Callithrix jacchus: one gene and its partner. The protein of the gene in region 1 interacts with the protein of each later gene in a biochemical or structural test. Links are inferred from orthologs where the notes say so. Each region holds a gene or a part of one and is shown on either strand. Other genes may lie near its edges.

Region 1 (7,203 bases):
CACAGCAGTGGTAAGAGGCATCCTTGTCTTCTTTATAAATTAATGGAGGCTGGGCGTGGTGGCTCACACCTGTAATCTCAGTACTTCCGGAGGCTGAGACAGGCAGATAACCTGAGGTCAAGAGGAGTTCAAGACCTGGCCAACATGGTAAAACCCCATCTCCACTAAAGGTATAAAAATTAGCCAGCGTGGTAGCACCTATAATCCCAGCTACTCGGGAGGCTGAGGCAGGAGAATCACTTGAACCTGGGAAGTGGAGTTTGCAGTGAGCTGAGATCATGGCACTGCACTCCAGCCTAGCCAACAAGAGTGAAACGCCATCTCAAGAAAAAAGTTAAAATTAAAATTTAAAAATAAGTTAATGGACACACTGCTAGGATTTTATGATTATAAAATGTTTGCTATTGTTTCTGATAAGTAATCTTCACCATCTTAAGGAAAATTCCTCTGTTCCTAGTTCACTAAAATCTTTCATCCAAAAGAAATGGTGAATTGGCCGGGCATGGTGGCTCACACCTGTAATCCCAGCACTTTGGAAGGCCGAGGCGGGTGGATCACAAGGTCAGGAGATTGAAACCATCCTGACCAACACAGTGAAAACCTGTCTCTACTAAAAATACAAAACTCAGCTGGGCATGGCAGCATGTACCTGTAGTCCCAGCTACTGGGGAGACTGAGACAGGAGAATCACTTGAACCCAGAAGGCAGAGGTTGCAGAGAGCCAAGATTGTGCCACTGCACTCCAACCTGGTGACAAAGCTAGACTCCATCTCAAAAAAAAAAATAACAAGAAAAAAAAATTGAAGAGATGATGAATTTCACAAAATGCTTTTTCACATCTATTTGAGATGGTCATATCGTTTTCTCCTCTCGCTTGTCACTCAGTCTAGTGGACAGTGGCACAATCATTGGTTCACTGTAGCTTCCAACTTCTTGGCTCAAGCGGTCCTCTAGCCTTAGCCTCCCAAATACCAAGGACTATAGGCACATGCTAATTTTTTATATTTTGTAGAGACAGGGGTCTCACTATCTTCCCGAGGCTGGTCTCAAACCCCTAGGCTCAAGTGATCCTCACACTTTGGCCTCCCAAGTGCTGGGATTACAAGCATGAGCCACCGCACCTGGCCACCCTTAACTTTTTTTTCCTTTTTTTTTTTGAGACAGAGTTTCGTTCGTTACCCAGGCTGGAATGCAATGGCGCGATCTCGGCTCATCGCAACCTCCGCCTCCTGGGTTCAGGCAATTCTCCTGCCTCAGCCTCCTGAGTAGCTGGGATTACAGGCACGCACCACCATGCCCAGCTAATTTTTTGTATTTTTATTAGAGACGGGGTTTCACCATGCTGACCAGGATGGTCTCAATCTCTTAACCTCGTGATCCACCCACCTCGGCCTCCCAAAGTGCTGGGATTACAGGCTCGAGCCACTGAGCCCGGCTTAACTTTTTTTTTCTTTCTTTCTTTTTTTTTTGAGATAGAGTCTCCCTCTGTTGCCAGATTGGAGTACAGTGGCAAAATCTTGGTTCACTGCAACCTCTGCCTCCCAGGTTCAAGCAATTCCCCTGCCTCAACCTCCAAGTAGCTGGGACTACAGTCATGCACCACGTCCAACTAATTTTATAATATATATATATATTAGAGACAGAGTTTCACCATGTTGGTCAGGATAGTCTTGATCTCCTGACCTCATGATCCGCCCCCCTTGACCTCCCAAAGTGCTGGGATTACAGGCATGAGCCACTCTGCCTGGCTGACTTTTTATGAATCATATTTAAGAGATTTCTTAATATTGAGCCATCTTTAGTTTTCTGAAACAAACCCTATGTTATTCCCTTACAATGCTGCCATGTTTGGTTTGCTACTATATTGTTGTAAACTTTTGCATCTCTATTCAAAAGCAAAACTCTCCTTATTTTATGTTATCTTTGTGACCATTTGAACTGGCCTTACACAATGAAATGTGAAATCTTATATCTTTTCCTGTACTCTAAAAGAACAGAAAAATTATCTATCTTTTGAGAATTTCGTAAAATTAGTCATCAAACCACCTGGGCTTTGTGCCTTCTGGGGGAGAGATCGTTGACAATCTTCTCTAGTTCCTTATGGTAACTGATTTTTCCATCTCTTCTCCAGCCACAGCAAGGATCAGCGATTGTGGCTATTTCATGGGGAATATCTGAAGAAGGACAGCTACAGGGATGTCATGGGGCTGCATGTCATGGGGTTAAACAGGATGGGTCATGGGGAGCTTTGGCATTTGAAGGGCTCTCACAGGTTGTGATGTCTGGGGGAGCATAGCTGTCACTCAGGTAGGCATTGCTGGGCTTGGCCACCTTTAGGTAGACAACATCATACGTGTTCTTCAGGGCTGCCACAGCATCTTCATGCATGACATCCTCCAACCCCACACTGTTGACCTGGAGTCAAGGAAAGCAAAGTTCAAACAAAGCCACAGATGGCCCAAGACAGAGGGACTGGGGTGAAGTGATGAACTTGGGCCTGTCCAGGGCTAGTAGGTGAGACCCAGATCTGGGCTAGAAAATGGGCTAGATGGGGTCCTCACCGCCAGGATCTTGTCTCCAATCTGCAACCTCCCATCCTTGTGGGCAGCACCCCCTTCGATGATCTTTGTTACATAGATGCTATTATCTCCTGGGATGTGCTGGTTCCCTACGCCCCCTGCGATGCTGAAGCCAAGACCTGGATGGAGGGGAGGCCAGAGGTGGGTGCCCAGGTGCCCAGGAAGCAGGCTTTGGGGCACAGGACAGTTGGGATGAGGATGGGAACAAAATGAGTTGCTACCTTTAGGCCCTTTGATGAGCTTTATCTCCATGACCTTCTCAGCCGGGGGCTTCCGACGCATGACATAGAGGCGAACGATGGAGCCTGCCTCTTTGAGGGCCTCCACTGCCGCTGAGTGGGTCACCTCACGCACGTCCACTTCATTTACAAACAGGATGCTGTCGTTGACCCTGGGAACAACAAGGTGGGCCTAAGCCAAGGGCTTCCTGCTGCCCTGGCCCTCCCTCTCAAGGGACCAGCATCCTAACCCGTCTCCTCTCCCCACCTGAGGCGGCCATCCTGGGCCGCAGCCCCACCAGGAATTATCTTGGTGATGAAAATGGACGGATCGTCACCGATGTGTGGGTTGTCAGTGCCACCTGCGATGCTGAAGCCCAGACCTGAGTTACCCTGGATGAAGGAGGGGAAGAGGTCAGCTCCCCTCACTGCCCAATTCTGGCAAGGTAAGTGGGGTGGGAAATGGCTTGGAGAGTGGTAGAGAGTGGCAGCCAGAGCAGGAAGGGACAGGATGAGGGGCTGACCATACAGACCACATGGGCATAAAGAAAGGTACAGATCAGGAGCTAAGGGGACCACTGATGGAGGAGCCTGCTCACCCTTTCCAATGTGATCTCCTCGTATTCCATCTCCCCCTCGGTCCCGTTCACCTGCAACTCCAGCACGGGATAGAAACACAAAAGCAGTGAGACAGACATTCCCGCCTGACAACCTGCCTGTCATCTGCTGCCCTCCCTTACTCCCTCCTTTCTTCTACCATGGTCCCAGCCCCAAAATCTAAACAACTCACATATCCTGGGGCTTCTAGGGTATCTGTGTTGACAATCACAGGGGGAGAATTGGCCTGTTCGGGGAAATAAGAGACAAAAAGCCTCCTGAGCCTTGACTCAAGAGGGAGCCCGTAACGGAGGTCCCATCAGCGTGGCTACCCCTTAGCCTCTCAGCCAAGCCCACTCCCCCACCCTGAGAGCTGCTCAAGGACCCAGCCTCAATGCACACCACACAGGCCCACGCGCACACACATACCACAGATGCACATACACACCACTCTAACTTTGCCCAGCCCAGGCCCCCTGCATGTGGAAGGAGGTGTAAGAAAAGCGGGAAGGGAGACAGCCAGACAGAGAGGGGAGCAGCAGATGGCAGAGTGGGGAGAGGGGGGTAGGCTTGGGGGAAGGGAGCTTCTCACCGGATGTAACACCACATGCCTTATATGCTACACACGGACACCCCAGGGCTCAAGTCCACCGGCTCCTGGTCCCACTTCCTGCTCCATCCCCCCAACCCCTCCATATCTACCCAAATATCTTCATAACCCTCCCCTAGACTTGTCCCTCACCTTCACACACATTTGCCCTAAACCCTGCGCCTCGGGAATCCGGGGTTTCCCCAGCTGCAGGCCCCTCCCTCGGTCTCAGCTACCAGCCGTCCAATCCACCCCTTCCTCTAGGGACCGTGTTGCCTAGCAACGGTATCTAGGACCAGCCAAGACCCGGGGAGACCCACCTCCAGGAGGCCCTGTCGTCAGGACAACAGGGGGGTGGGGCGTGGCCTGAGGCCGACCAGGCTCCCGAGTGCAGAAGGGATCCGCTAACCCCGCCTCTCCTGCCCTGGGCCCCGCCCCGCGTTAGCCAGGCCGAGAGGAGGCCAGGCTGAAGAGGTTTGAGGGTGCAGCGCATCCTGAACAACCTGCCTTCCTCTCTCCCCCACGCCCCTCACCCTATGCAGTGCAAAGGACGTCAGGAAGGAGGCGTGGAGAAAGACATCCGGGTCCTATACCCCTCCTCTACTCCCTCCCCCTACTTCTTTCGGGGAAAGGGTTAAAGTGGGGCGTGCCCAGGTCCCTGACGTCAATTGCCTGGTCTCTAGACTCCCAGGCGGGGCCAGCTTTAGGCTGGTCCTAGGGGCTTCCCCAATTGCCTGGGCAACCGAAGCCACGTCTCTATGGCAATGAGGAGAGGCCGCCAAGAGCCTCCTTCCGGGGTCCCCAACCTACTTCCTTCTTTAACAGGTGTTTGCAGCCGCCCAACCGCAAGGATTCCGCACTCTCCTTCCCGCTCTTCCCGTCCAAAGGGGTCCCTCCCGTCTCCTACTGCTATTTCTCAATCCTACAAACTACCGACCATTTCAAGCTGTATTACAGATTTCGCACCCATAAATCTGTTAACACCGCCCTCTAACCCTTCACATCTCAGCAAATGCTGTTGCCCAACCAATAGCCACTGACTGCCAAAATCTCATCCACATGTTCAGCCCATTGTCAATCCCCATCCCCATCCCTATCCTGGAACTTCCTTCCCAGCACACCCTTCTTCATCCACTACGACACTCATTTGCTTCCCATCCCTATCTCTGCCCGCATCCCACATGCTCCATCTACATCCCTGTCTCACCCTTCAACATCCAACCCCATCTTCCAACCCCAGCCTCTATTCTCCATTCGCTTCCCTGGCCCTATCGCACCCTCCAGCCCCATCCCTTACCAATGTCGTGGCCTCATCCTCCATCCCAAATTCTTTTTTTCCCCCGAGACAGGGTGTTGCTGTGTCACTCAGGCTGGAGTGCAGTGGTGTCATCATAGCTCACTGATGCCTTGAACTCCTGGGCTCAAGTAATCCTCCTACCTCGACCTCCTGAGTAGCTACAGGCACATGCCACCTCACTCAGCTACTCCATCTCAATTTCTGATTTCCCAGAGAATTTGTCACCATTCTCCTTTACCCTACCTTCATATCAAGATTATTCTCAAGTGAGAATCTTTCACTCCTCAATCCACTCCCTCTCTCTTCTGAAAATTGAGGCTTCTTCTGTCCCCCAGCTGCCGCCTTGTGCTGGAACCTCCACCCCATGCTTATGGCCTCTAGCAATTCTCTCCCTCTACCCTCTTTTGCCTCCTGAGCTCTGTACTAACTACCATTCCTACCACCAGCTCCCTACCCTTCTCTTCCCCCTCCTCAGAAATCTAATGGCCCTACCTTGCAAAAGAGCATCTCTAGTCTTCCTTCCCTCACTCCTAGCCACCACAGAATTCGCACAAACACTCTGTACCATCCCTGTCTCCAGGGCCTTCCTTTCCTAGCTCTGTCAGCTCCAATTCACTGCCCTGATCTCACAGTCTTATCTCTATCTGGCCCCTGCCCCAGGACCTCTTACCCTTCCTATCCCCCAACTCCTCTCTTGCCAGTTCTCACTCCAGAATCTGCTTGGCTGCTCCCTAGGCTCAGACACCTCCTCTTCATCTTCTTGGTGAAATGTCAGCAAGTTAGCAACCTCCCCCTTCCCAGGCCATGCCACAACATCCTAGAATCCCCACCCTGACCCCACGGTGTCCCCTCAATCTCACAGCTTGCCTGGTGCACTCCATTCCTCCCCATCCTGTGTCCCCAGAAGAGGAGATGGAGGGAAGGGAAGATGGAAAGGGGACTGGAGAATGGAGAGGCCAGAAACCAGGCCTCTAAGGGCTGGAGAGGGGAAGACCCTGTGAGCCCAGAAGAGAAAGGGAAACAGGTGGTGAGGGATGATGGAAGGGACAGATGGGGACAGAAAGAAGATACAGCAGAGGTGAGAATCCAAGAGGATGAGAGAGAGGAGCAGGAAAAGAGAGAAGGTGAAGACGAATAGGCAAGAGGGAACGTGGGAAAGGGGAGCCAGCTGACGGAGGCAGAGGACTGATGAGGGATAGGACTGATCAGGCCGCAGTGGCCTGAGCTGGGGATCAGGGAGAGGGAGAGGAGAATGCGTGGGAGGAAGAGAGAGACAGCATCAAGAGCCAGCCAGCCTGCCAGAGGAAGGAAAGGCTGCAGAGGCGGGAGAGAGCTCAGGAGTCCAGCAAAGGCTGGGGCAGGGGACGAGGCAGCAAGGCCCCACCATGTAAAGTCTCAGACCAGACAGATGGAAAGGGCTGAAGACTAGGGAATAGGGCGAGCCAGGCCCAGAGGCAGAGGTAGGGGGAGGAGGTGGGGAAGGGACAAGAGCAAATGAGGGCAGCAGGCGCTTGGAACAGAACTGTGGACAGAGAAAATGGAAACGGAGGTTGGGGGTGTGAAGGAATGAAGAGGTCCTAGGCGTGGGGGGCCTTCTGGGGGATGCACACATCTCAACACACAGGCATACAGCGCATGCACACACACTCACAGGCACACACACATACAGCACACGCACAGGCACCCACAAGCGTACAGCGAACGCACACACATGCACAGGCACATGCATACACACGCATACAGCACACACACTGACAGGCACACACGCATATAGTGCACGCAAACATGCACAGGCACACAGCGCACGCCCATGCACAGGCACGCGCACAAATACCACGCACAGGCACGCGTGCACACATTCTTGCTTTAGGCTCTACATCCACTCCCACTGGCCTGGCCTATTTCTCCTCTGTGGGACCAAGG
Region 2 (7,689 bases), on another chromosome or scaffold:
AAATAACAAACATTGGAAAGTTACAGAGTTTTCATAATCTTAAAAGTTTCAGGTTGACTTCTTTCTGAGCTGGTAATTGAAAGTTGTTTGGATTTCTGCTGTTTACTTTTGTTCTTCAGGGTGGAGTCATCAAACCTCTTAATATTCTAACCTTGCCCTCAACCCGAGTGTCAGCTGGAGCACAGGCCCTCTTCCCACCCCTACTTTCCAGCACTTTCCCCAAGGTGACCAGGCTAGTAGTTTAAATCATCCTCTTCTCAAGCCAGTCATTTGCATTTCTGTGGATCCTCAGGCTAAGTGACAATGGTTTCACTCCTTCACTGGAAATCTGGAATTGGGCCATTGCAACTTGGAAGTAAAGGACATTTTTGTAGGAGAGAACTTAATTGGCAAAATAAGCTACGATTTTGAGGAGAAAGAGCAAAATCATCAAGATCATTTCAGTTGTATTCAAGAGCCAAAACATTGGTGAAAAAGTAGAAACGTCAAGAAATTCCCTTCAGACAGTTTATTGGTGAAAAGAAAGGCAAGAAGATGGAGATTGTGGTAGGGTAGAAGGAAGGTGGTTTTGCCAAAGGCCAGATATTTGGAAGGTTTAGGAAAAATCATCAGAGGTGAGGGTATAACACATCGTCTAAGAAAGAAATTATAATTACTAGAGCAAAATCCTGGTAGAGAGAAGATGGTTCATGTTTAGGAGCATATGTGGAGTATGAGCTTTGAAGAGAAATGTGGATACCCCTACTCAACCAGGACTGAAAGAGGTGAAGATGTATAAAAACTGAGACTGAGGTTTAGGAAAGTTAAGTTGAGGAACCTCATGGTGGATCCTTCATTAGAGTATGAGGCAAGATCATTTTGCAGAAGTGGAGGAAAACCACATAAAGTGGGGGCTTGAGGAGATCAGACATAGGACACGTTTGGAAGTGGCCCAGATAATGTTCCCGGATAAGTGTTCTGGATAATCATCCTCCTGATGAGGAAAGGAATTGAGAATCAGTGAAGACCAGCCAAGTTTGAATAGCATGAACTTTAAGAGGAATGAAGTGATCATTTAACCTTATCTAGCAATGCTTAGTAGTGCAGGAGCAAGTTGAAAAGAAAGCTTTCAACTAAATACAAAAATAAAGAAAATAATTAATGTTGAGTGACAACTTATTTCAGAGGACATATTCATGGTGGATTTTTAGTAACAATTTAATTATGACAAACATGAAATCTACAATGTCAAAATAATCATCTGAGAAAAACATACAAAAGACTATTGGAGTAATAATAAAATGAGCTTTTTTCTCCTTCTTTCTATGCTAGCCTAAGGCAAGAAAAAAGAAAAGACCCATTTTTCTTTCCATTAGACACATTTTCCATTCATTCGATGTGACTGAAATTTTTAAAAAAGCAAAATCATTGGTATCTTATTATTAAACATATGTCATATAACAATTTGCATTTTACTTTTTCTGTTCTATAAACAAACTCACATATTAAAAAGCCAGAAGAAGTCAAAAACAGCCTATTTTCATATAGCCAGGCATGACACAACACTTCCTGGCCTCTGCTGATCCCTTCCCAATTCTGAAAATATTTAGAGGGAACATTCACATGTTCACCTGTTTTGTTCCACAGTCCAACTCTGAGTAGGATTGTCAACTAAGTTGAAATTTTACCACAAATGTGGAGAGATTTTTTTTTTCCAATCAAGGCACCATATTAACATTTCTTAGGTTACATCTTTATAATCTTCAATTACAGTAAGATAAAAACCAGTAGCAAAGCATATCACCCAACTTAAAATTCAGAAGAATACTTAGACATATGCAACTTGCACACACATTAATCTGTTTCTCTCAACAAATTATTTGTAATTTTCAAAATCCTATCAGCTTTTTCACACAACATGGTCCCTCCAATGTGAGGTGCAGTAATATGTACATAGTCTCCTTACTAAAAAGATTAGTTGAAAAATAGTAAAATGACCAAAAAAAGGAACATAAGAATATCGGTGGTTATAGGCTAGAGCAATATCATATTTTAAAGCCTAATATGTTCATGAAATTTCACTTTAAGAAGGTGGTATCTAAATATAAAATTTATTGACAAAAAATTAGTATTGACAAACTAGCACAAGATTATTTTAAATGAAAGTAGAAGACATTATTAAAGCTCAAGATTTTTGTGTGTACTGATTTTCATGCCTCAGGTGATTTCTATATCAAATTTAAAGAGAACTGGAAAATAGAAAACAAAATCCATCAACTGTAATCCATTTCTCTTACTCTTTCGTGAAATCATCAGAAGGCATAAAGGATTGTTTCTGTTTCCTGTCTCTTTATCAAGCCTGTAACCCCTCAAGTGAAAGAACATGCACCTGTCAAGCTCGTAGTGCAGGATGTACACACAGATGTGTTTAATAGATATCTGCCCACGGGAAGATTAGAGGTTTGCTTTGAGAATCAGGGAACAGGCTATCTTATGTGGTGACGCTTTGGCATCTATCATACAATCCGTCACCTTCTCCCTTACCAAAATATCATCAAAGGAAATCCTCTTTGAGTCTTCTTTGAGAAGGGATATGAGTTTGAAGACCCAAAACGTTGAAACAAGACAGGAAAGGGGGAGTGGTTGCGGAGAACAAGCCCAAGTAGGATTCAAGTGGCTCAGTGACGTCAGGAGGAAGGAGCGATGGAAGGGATGGGGTGCAACTCACCTAGAGAAGCAGCAGCTGCACAAACGTCAAAGGTCAGAGCCTAGCCTCAGGGGCTCCCCAAACGCAGGAAAAGTGAAACGCCCACTCCTGGCTCTCACTGTCAGGGGTACGTCTAAGGGCTCAGCTGTTCCTACCTTTGATGCCAGGGACAAACCCTTCCAGGCACAGTTGGGGCTGGCAGGAAGGCAAAGTGAAACCTGCCCCAGATTTCAGAGCCAGCACTGGGGAATCTCCCTGTCCTCCTCTCCGCCACCCCCTCCCGCGCCCGCGACTTGAGACACCCTCATCCTCACACCCACCTTCTCCAGGCCCTCTCGCGCTGAACAGCATCGGTCTCTATGGCGACCTGAAACCGCAGCTCCTATTGGTCCGTTCAATATGAGGGCCGGGCCAATGGGGAGGACCAGCCCTCTCCTTCTGGCCAATGGGGTAGCGGAAGCAGGCCCGGGGACGGCGGCGTGCTGACGTTCCCGGGAGCCCGGGTCTGGCCGGGCGGGCTGGCGGCGGGGCGGGCGGCGGTGGCGGCGGCCTCTGGGCAGTAGAGGGGGCTCCGGGACTGAGTCCGCGTCGACGCCGGCCGCGGAGGCGGCACCATGGGCAAAGGGTAGAGGGGCAAGTTGGCCACCGCCGCCGCCGGGGGTGGTGGGATAGCCGCTCCGGGGGAGGGGGCGGGTGGGGGAGGGAGGGGCGGGCAGCCGCGCGGCCGCGGCACTTTTTTAATTTTTTTCGGGTGCCGCAGCGGCGACCCCTCGGCGCCGATGTCTGTGATTCCTGGAGCGACGACGGCCGCTGCCTAAGCTGGAAAGTAAGTGTGTGGGCTCGCGGGAGGGCGCGGAGACCCCTGCCGTTGAGACCCTCGGCCCTGCCGAACATGCGCCGGGGCCGGGACCTGCGCGCCGGAGGCCGGCGCCTCCCTCCCGCTGCCCCGTCCCCAGCGCCTCGGCGGCTTTCCTGCCCCGCCTCGTGTTCCTGCCCGCACTCGCCTGCTGCTCCCCTCCCCCCGGCAGGCACACAAGTTTCACCCTCCATTTGCTTTTTCCGGCGATTCCTCTCCTCGATCTCCCTTACGAGCCGCGCAGGACCCCTCTCCACGCTGGGCTCTACGGATTTGGAGCCCCCAGCCCCGAACTTGAGCTCCGCGCGGAGCCCTGCTGGACGCCCTCGCGGCGGCTTCCCCGCTGCCGCCCGCCCGGCGTGCCGCCCTGCGCCCCCGACACCCCGGGGCGCCCGCCCTCCCCAGCCCTCGAGACCAGCGGTCTGTCCTTCCAGCCCCAGATCCTGTACCTTGGCCCCTTTCCCGCCTTTCCACGCCCATGCTGCCGGCGCGCTCTTGCGTTTGCCCCCGAAGTCCTGCACTCCTAGTCGGTCCTGCCCACCCCCTCTGCCCAGTGCGTCCCTCTCTGCTGGCCGCCGATTTTCACGCTCCACCCCTCTCGGATCCCCAGCCCCTAGCCTCGCCGCTGCCCTCCTGCGCCGCCTCTTCCTCCTCTCCCTGCCAGGAGTTGAAGCGGAGCCGGGGCACCCCCCTGGTGGATTGGTATCCCCGCCCGCCTCCGAGGCAGCCGGCCCTCTCCCCTGGACCGCTACCCGGAGAGCGAGCGGCGGGGCCGGGATTTGGCTGCGTATTGGCTGAGTGCGACAAACCGCGAGCGCAGGCAGTGGAGGCGCCGCGGCGGCTGTGGCCGCTCGGGGCGCAGCGGTAGTCAGGTGTGTGTGTACAGCGGGGGACGCGCGCTGCCGGCTCCTGGGCTGGCGACAGATTGTGCAGGAATGCGAGGAATGCACCAGGGGCTGAGTCCACACGGCCCTCCGCGGCTACACTAGCGCCTTTCCTCCCCAGCTCTCGCCGCGCAGCCAGAGGTCACCGGAGCATCTTCAGAGCTGGTGAGCCTCATTCCACTCTTCTCCTCCCATTGCTTCCCTCCTTGCGGCAGAGAGGGTGGCGGAGGGAAAGCACGGTAGTTCTTTTGGGCTCCAGCTAGCCTTTCGTCTGGGTTTTTGCTGCATTGGTCTTCAGGACCGTGAATTTGGGGCCGATGACTGTGTAGCCAAGGTTATTGATCATTGCACAGCCTGTTTGCAAGTTTGGTGTGCAAGGATTAGATAGTGCCTGGTTTTTACTAGGGTTTTCTGAAAACCAGCAGGAATAGGGGGCCTGAAGGTTCTTGAGAGTAATGAGCTTGCAGCCAACATATTTTAGCTATACCAGAAAATGACTGTGCTAATGGATGGCCATGTACTGCAAGAAAGATCTTGAATGCATCACTTCGGTGTCCTAAGAAGTGTAATTTTTTTTCCTTGTCATACTGGGCTGTTTAGACCTCGTATAATACATAATGAATAGAAACAGAGAAGCAGTGTTTGGTCAGCGATGGGACAGATAGAACTGTCTGGTACAGTTAAATTCGGGGTGTGTCAGTTACCATTGAAAGTAACACGGGAACACCACAATCATGTGTATTTCAAGATGTAATTTATGAGTGGAGGTTTTAGTTCTCTTTGTTACTGAGTTTGACTAAAAGAAATGCTGCCCTACAACTTTTAAAGAATAGTAATTATTTACGTGTAAAATCGATGATGGTTAGTATGCATTTTGGTCAAATTTTGTTTTTCTCAATACAGGAAAGGAAATTTTTGACAGAAAATGGTTCGCTAGAATTGAGCTTAGATTCTTTTTATTTTAAAAGAGAAAGTAGAAGAATGCTTCCCTTCTTGAATGCAGTATATTGCTGTAGGAGTATCTTCGTTTTGATGTCTGTGAAACAGTTATGGAAAATGGCAACATGAGAATGAGAACAACTAATGTCTGAAATAAGTGTTTCTGGGTGTTGAAAAGCATCCTATGTGTGTTTTTATTTGATACAATTTGCTTTGGAGGTTGCATTTATGATAAATCTCTTTGCACCTGGTTATTTTGTAGCAGTTTCGGTAAAATAAGTCAGTTGTATGACCAATCAGCTGTCTTCCAACACCTACTTTGTCTAGATCAAGGACATTGAAAAGTATTAAATAGGAGCCTTTAGTTAAGGACTCAACAGAAAGGAAAAAATAGAAAAAAAAAAAATACTTTGCACTCTGAAAGGTTTATCTTTTGATTGCTACGTTGTTTTTCAGCTATGTGCATAATCAGTGAATCTTCTAATTAGAGGTTTAATTTGTGTCCACTAGCATGTGGAGGATATTGGGAGGTGTTTGTAAATGCCAACAGGAAACTTTTATTATGTAACAATATCATATTACAGCAGAGTTTAACCCATGCTTAACCTGTGCTTATTTGACTTGATGTCAAGATTAGGAAGTATAAGCAAATTCAGTTTCTCTGCCTCATTAGAAACCGAAAACTCTGTTCAGATATATAGATCTCACACACACACACACACACACACACACACACGATTGGCTGTGCAAATAGTTTTGCCTGCTTCAGGTAAAGGTAAGCTTTCAGTTAGAAATGCTTTCTATTTGTTATAGGTATACGAAGAGAGGAAGTTTTTCAACTGGTGATCCTTCACAATTGAAAATAACCAAAATTGTATTTTGACCAAAGTGCATTCCCTCCCCACCCCCTACTATTATGTAAGGAGAGGGTGCTGCATCTGGTGTCTTATATATTATACTGAAGAGTCTAATTTGGGGAAGCTAATTTTCCAATTATTTTAATTTTTGGTTATATTGTTTTTGGAGGGAGATAAGGGAACGGAGAGCATTGATGGAAAACAAGGGAAGAAGAAACTAGGGGTAGCTAGTATGCAACTAGAAAATAAAATTATATACATTATTGCAGCAATAATGCATTTATAAGCTAAAAAAATCAAATCTAATTTTGTGACTAGTTCTGACATAATATTAATTGAAGGAAAGTATTACCAAATTCAGTTTAATAAAAACTTTAGTACTTGTATGACCTTGAGTATTTGGATTAGGTTTATGTTAAATCAGAATTGCAGTTTTCTTTATTTTCTTGTAGATAGACAAAGCAAATTTAACGTAAAAATTTGACATTCACTTAGATTAATTTAAAAAAATTCAATTATTGACAATTTTTGGCCTAAATTTTTTAAAATTTTGAGTAATTTCCATGCTTTTACCCAGGGATGAATTTAAATGGTATTCATACCCTGGCTGATGCCAACCATCAGGTAAGTCTAGCCTCTTATCTGACTCTTTTGAAATATTAAGGTATTTTGAGAAAGCTTTGTAATCTAATGTGTTTAAAAAAAAATTTTTTTTTCTATTTCAATCAAGCAGTAATTCCCTACCTTGCTTAACTCTAAAATGGACATCCTATCTTCATTCTTAAATGGAAGATAAAGTAGAGGTTACTCTAGGGTTATTTTAGGGCATAAACACCTATGGAATTGTACGTCAGTTTGGGAAGTTTGCCTTCACATCTTAAAGTGTACAGGGAGATAATTACTCCTTCTATGTGTTAAATGATTCTGTAGTGCCCTTCCTGCACTGAAGGGGGAAGACTCTGAAACGTAACACCAGTGGACTAGGTATGTTTGGAGAATTAAGTAACTGTTTCACTGCCAGACAATACTACAGACAGCTGCAAATAGAGAAAAGAAGGAAAACTTTTAAAATACATGGATGTAAGGTTTCATTCTTACATCCATGGAAGTGATGATAGCAGTCAGCAGGTCAGTTTGATGCTCAGTGGTAAGAAATAATAGGGTTATTTCAGGGTAAGATAATCAGGCCCTTAGTAGCCAAGCATGGTAATTGATGTACTTGCTGGTTTCAGTTAAGAAGTTGCACAACATTCAAATATTTCTTACATTGTCACTTTAATAATTCAGTGAAATTATCTTAATTTAGGGTGGGCTGTGTTACCATTACTAAACTGGAAATGTTACATGATGGTGCTCTTCAATTAAACTTGGGACTGTTGCAGACTTTTTTTTTTATCGTTGACCTGTTGTTTTTCCTTTTCATAATTTAGATTTACTTTTATTTTATATACCAATAAATGTTGGCTA

What was found. The genes of interacting proteins can lie anywhere in the genome.
Region 2: the proteins of DLG4 (region 1) and PKP4 interact in a test that uses a peptide from one of them, tested with the Homo sapiens proteins (2 studies listed by IntAct, with this or other methods). The link is inferred for Callithrix jacchus from reciprocal best matches to the Homo sapiens genes DLG4 and PKP4.

The regions. Positions count from the first base shown.
Region 1 is NC_133506.1:73,691,871-73,699,073, forward strand, and holds part of DLG4 (disks large homolog 4), read right to left. Parts: intron 4,524-7,203; exon of another isoform or gene 4,149-4,523; coding exon of another isoform or gene 4,137-4,148; intron 3,642-4,136; coding exon 3,588-3,641; exon of another isoform or gene 3,587-3,587; intron 3,456-3,586; exon of another isoform or gene 3,454-3,455; coding exon 3,397-3,453; intron 3,191-3,396; coding exon 3,066-3,190; intron 2,971-3,065; coding exon 2,801-2,970; intron 2,699-2,800; coding exon 2,562-2,698; intron 2,416-2,561; coding exon 2,271-2,415; intron 1-2,270. UniProt on the Homo sapiens protein: Postsynaptic scaffolding protein that plays a critical role in synaptogenesis and synaptic plasticity by providing a platform for the postsynaptic clustering of crucial synaptic proteins.
Region 2 is NC_133507.1:71,434,996-71,442,684, reverse strand, and holds the start of PKP4 (plakophilin-4), read left to right. Parts: upstream 1-3,191; 5' UTR 3,192-3,512; intron 3,513-3,991; exon of another isoform or gene 3,992-4,128; intron 4,129-4,182; exon of another isoform or gene 4,183-4,591; intron 4,592-7,689. Other genes in the region: CCDC148 (coiled-coil domain-containing protein 148), read right to left, coding at 2,708-2,722, 3,007-3,037. UniProt on the Homo sapiens protein: Plays a role as a regulator of Rho activity during cytokinesis. May play a role in junctional plaques.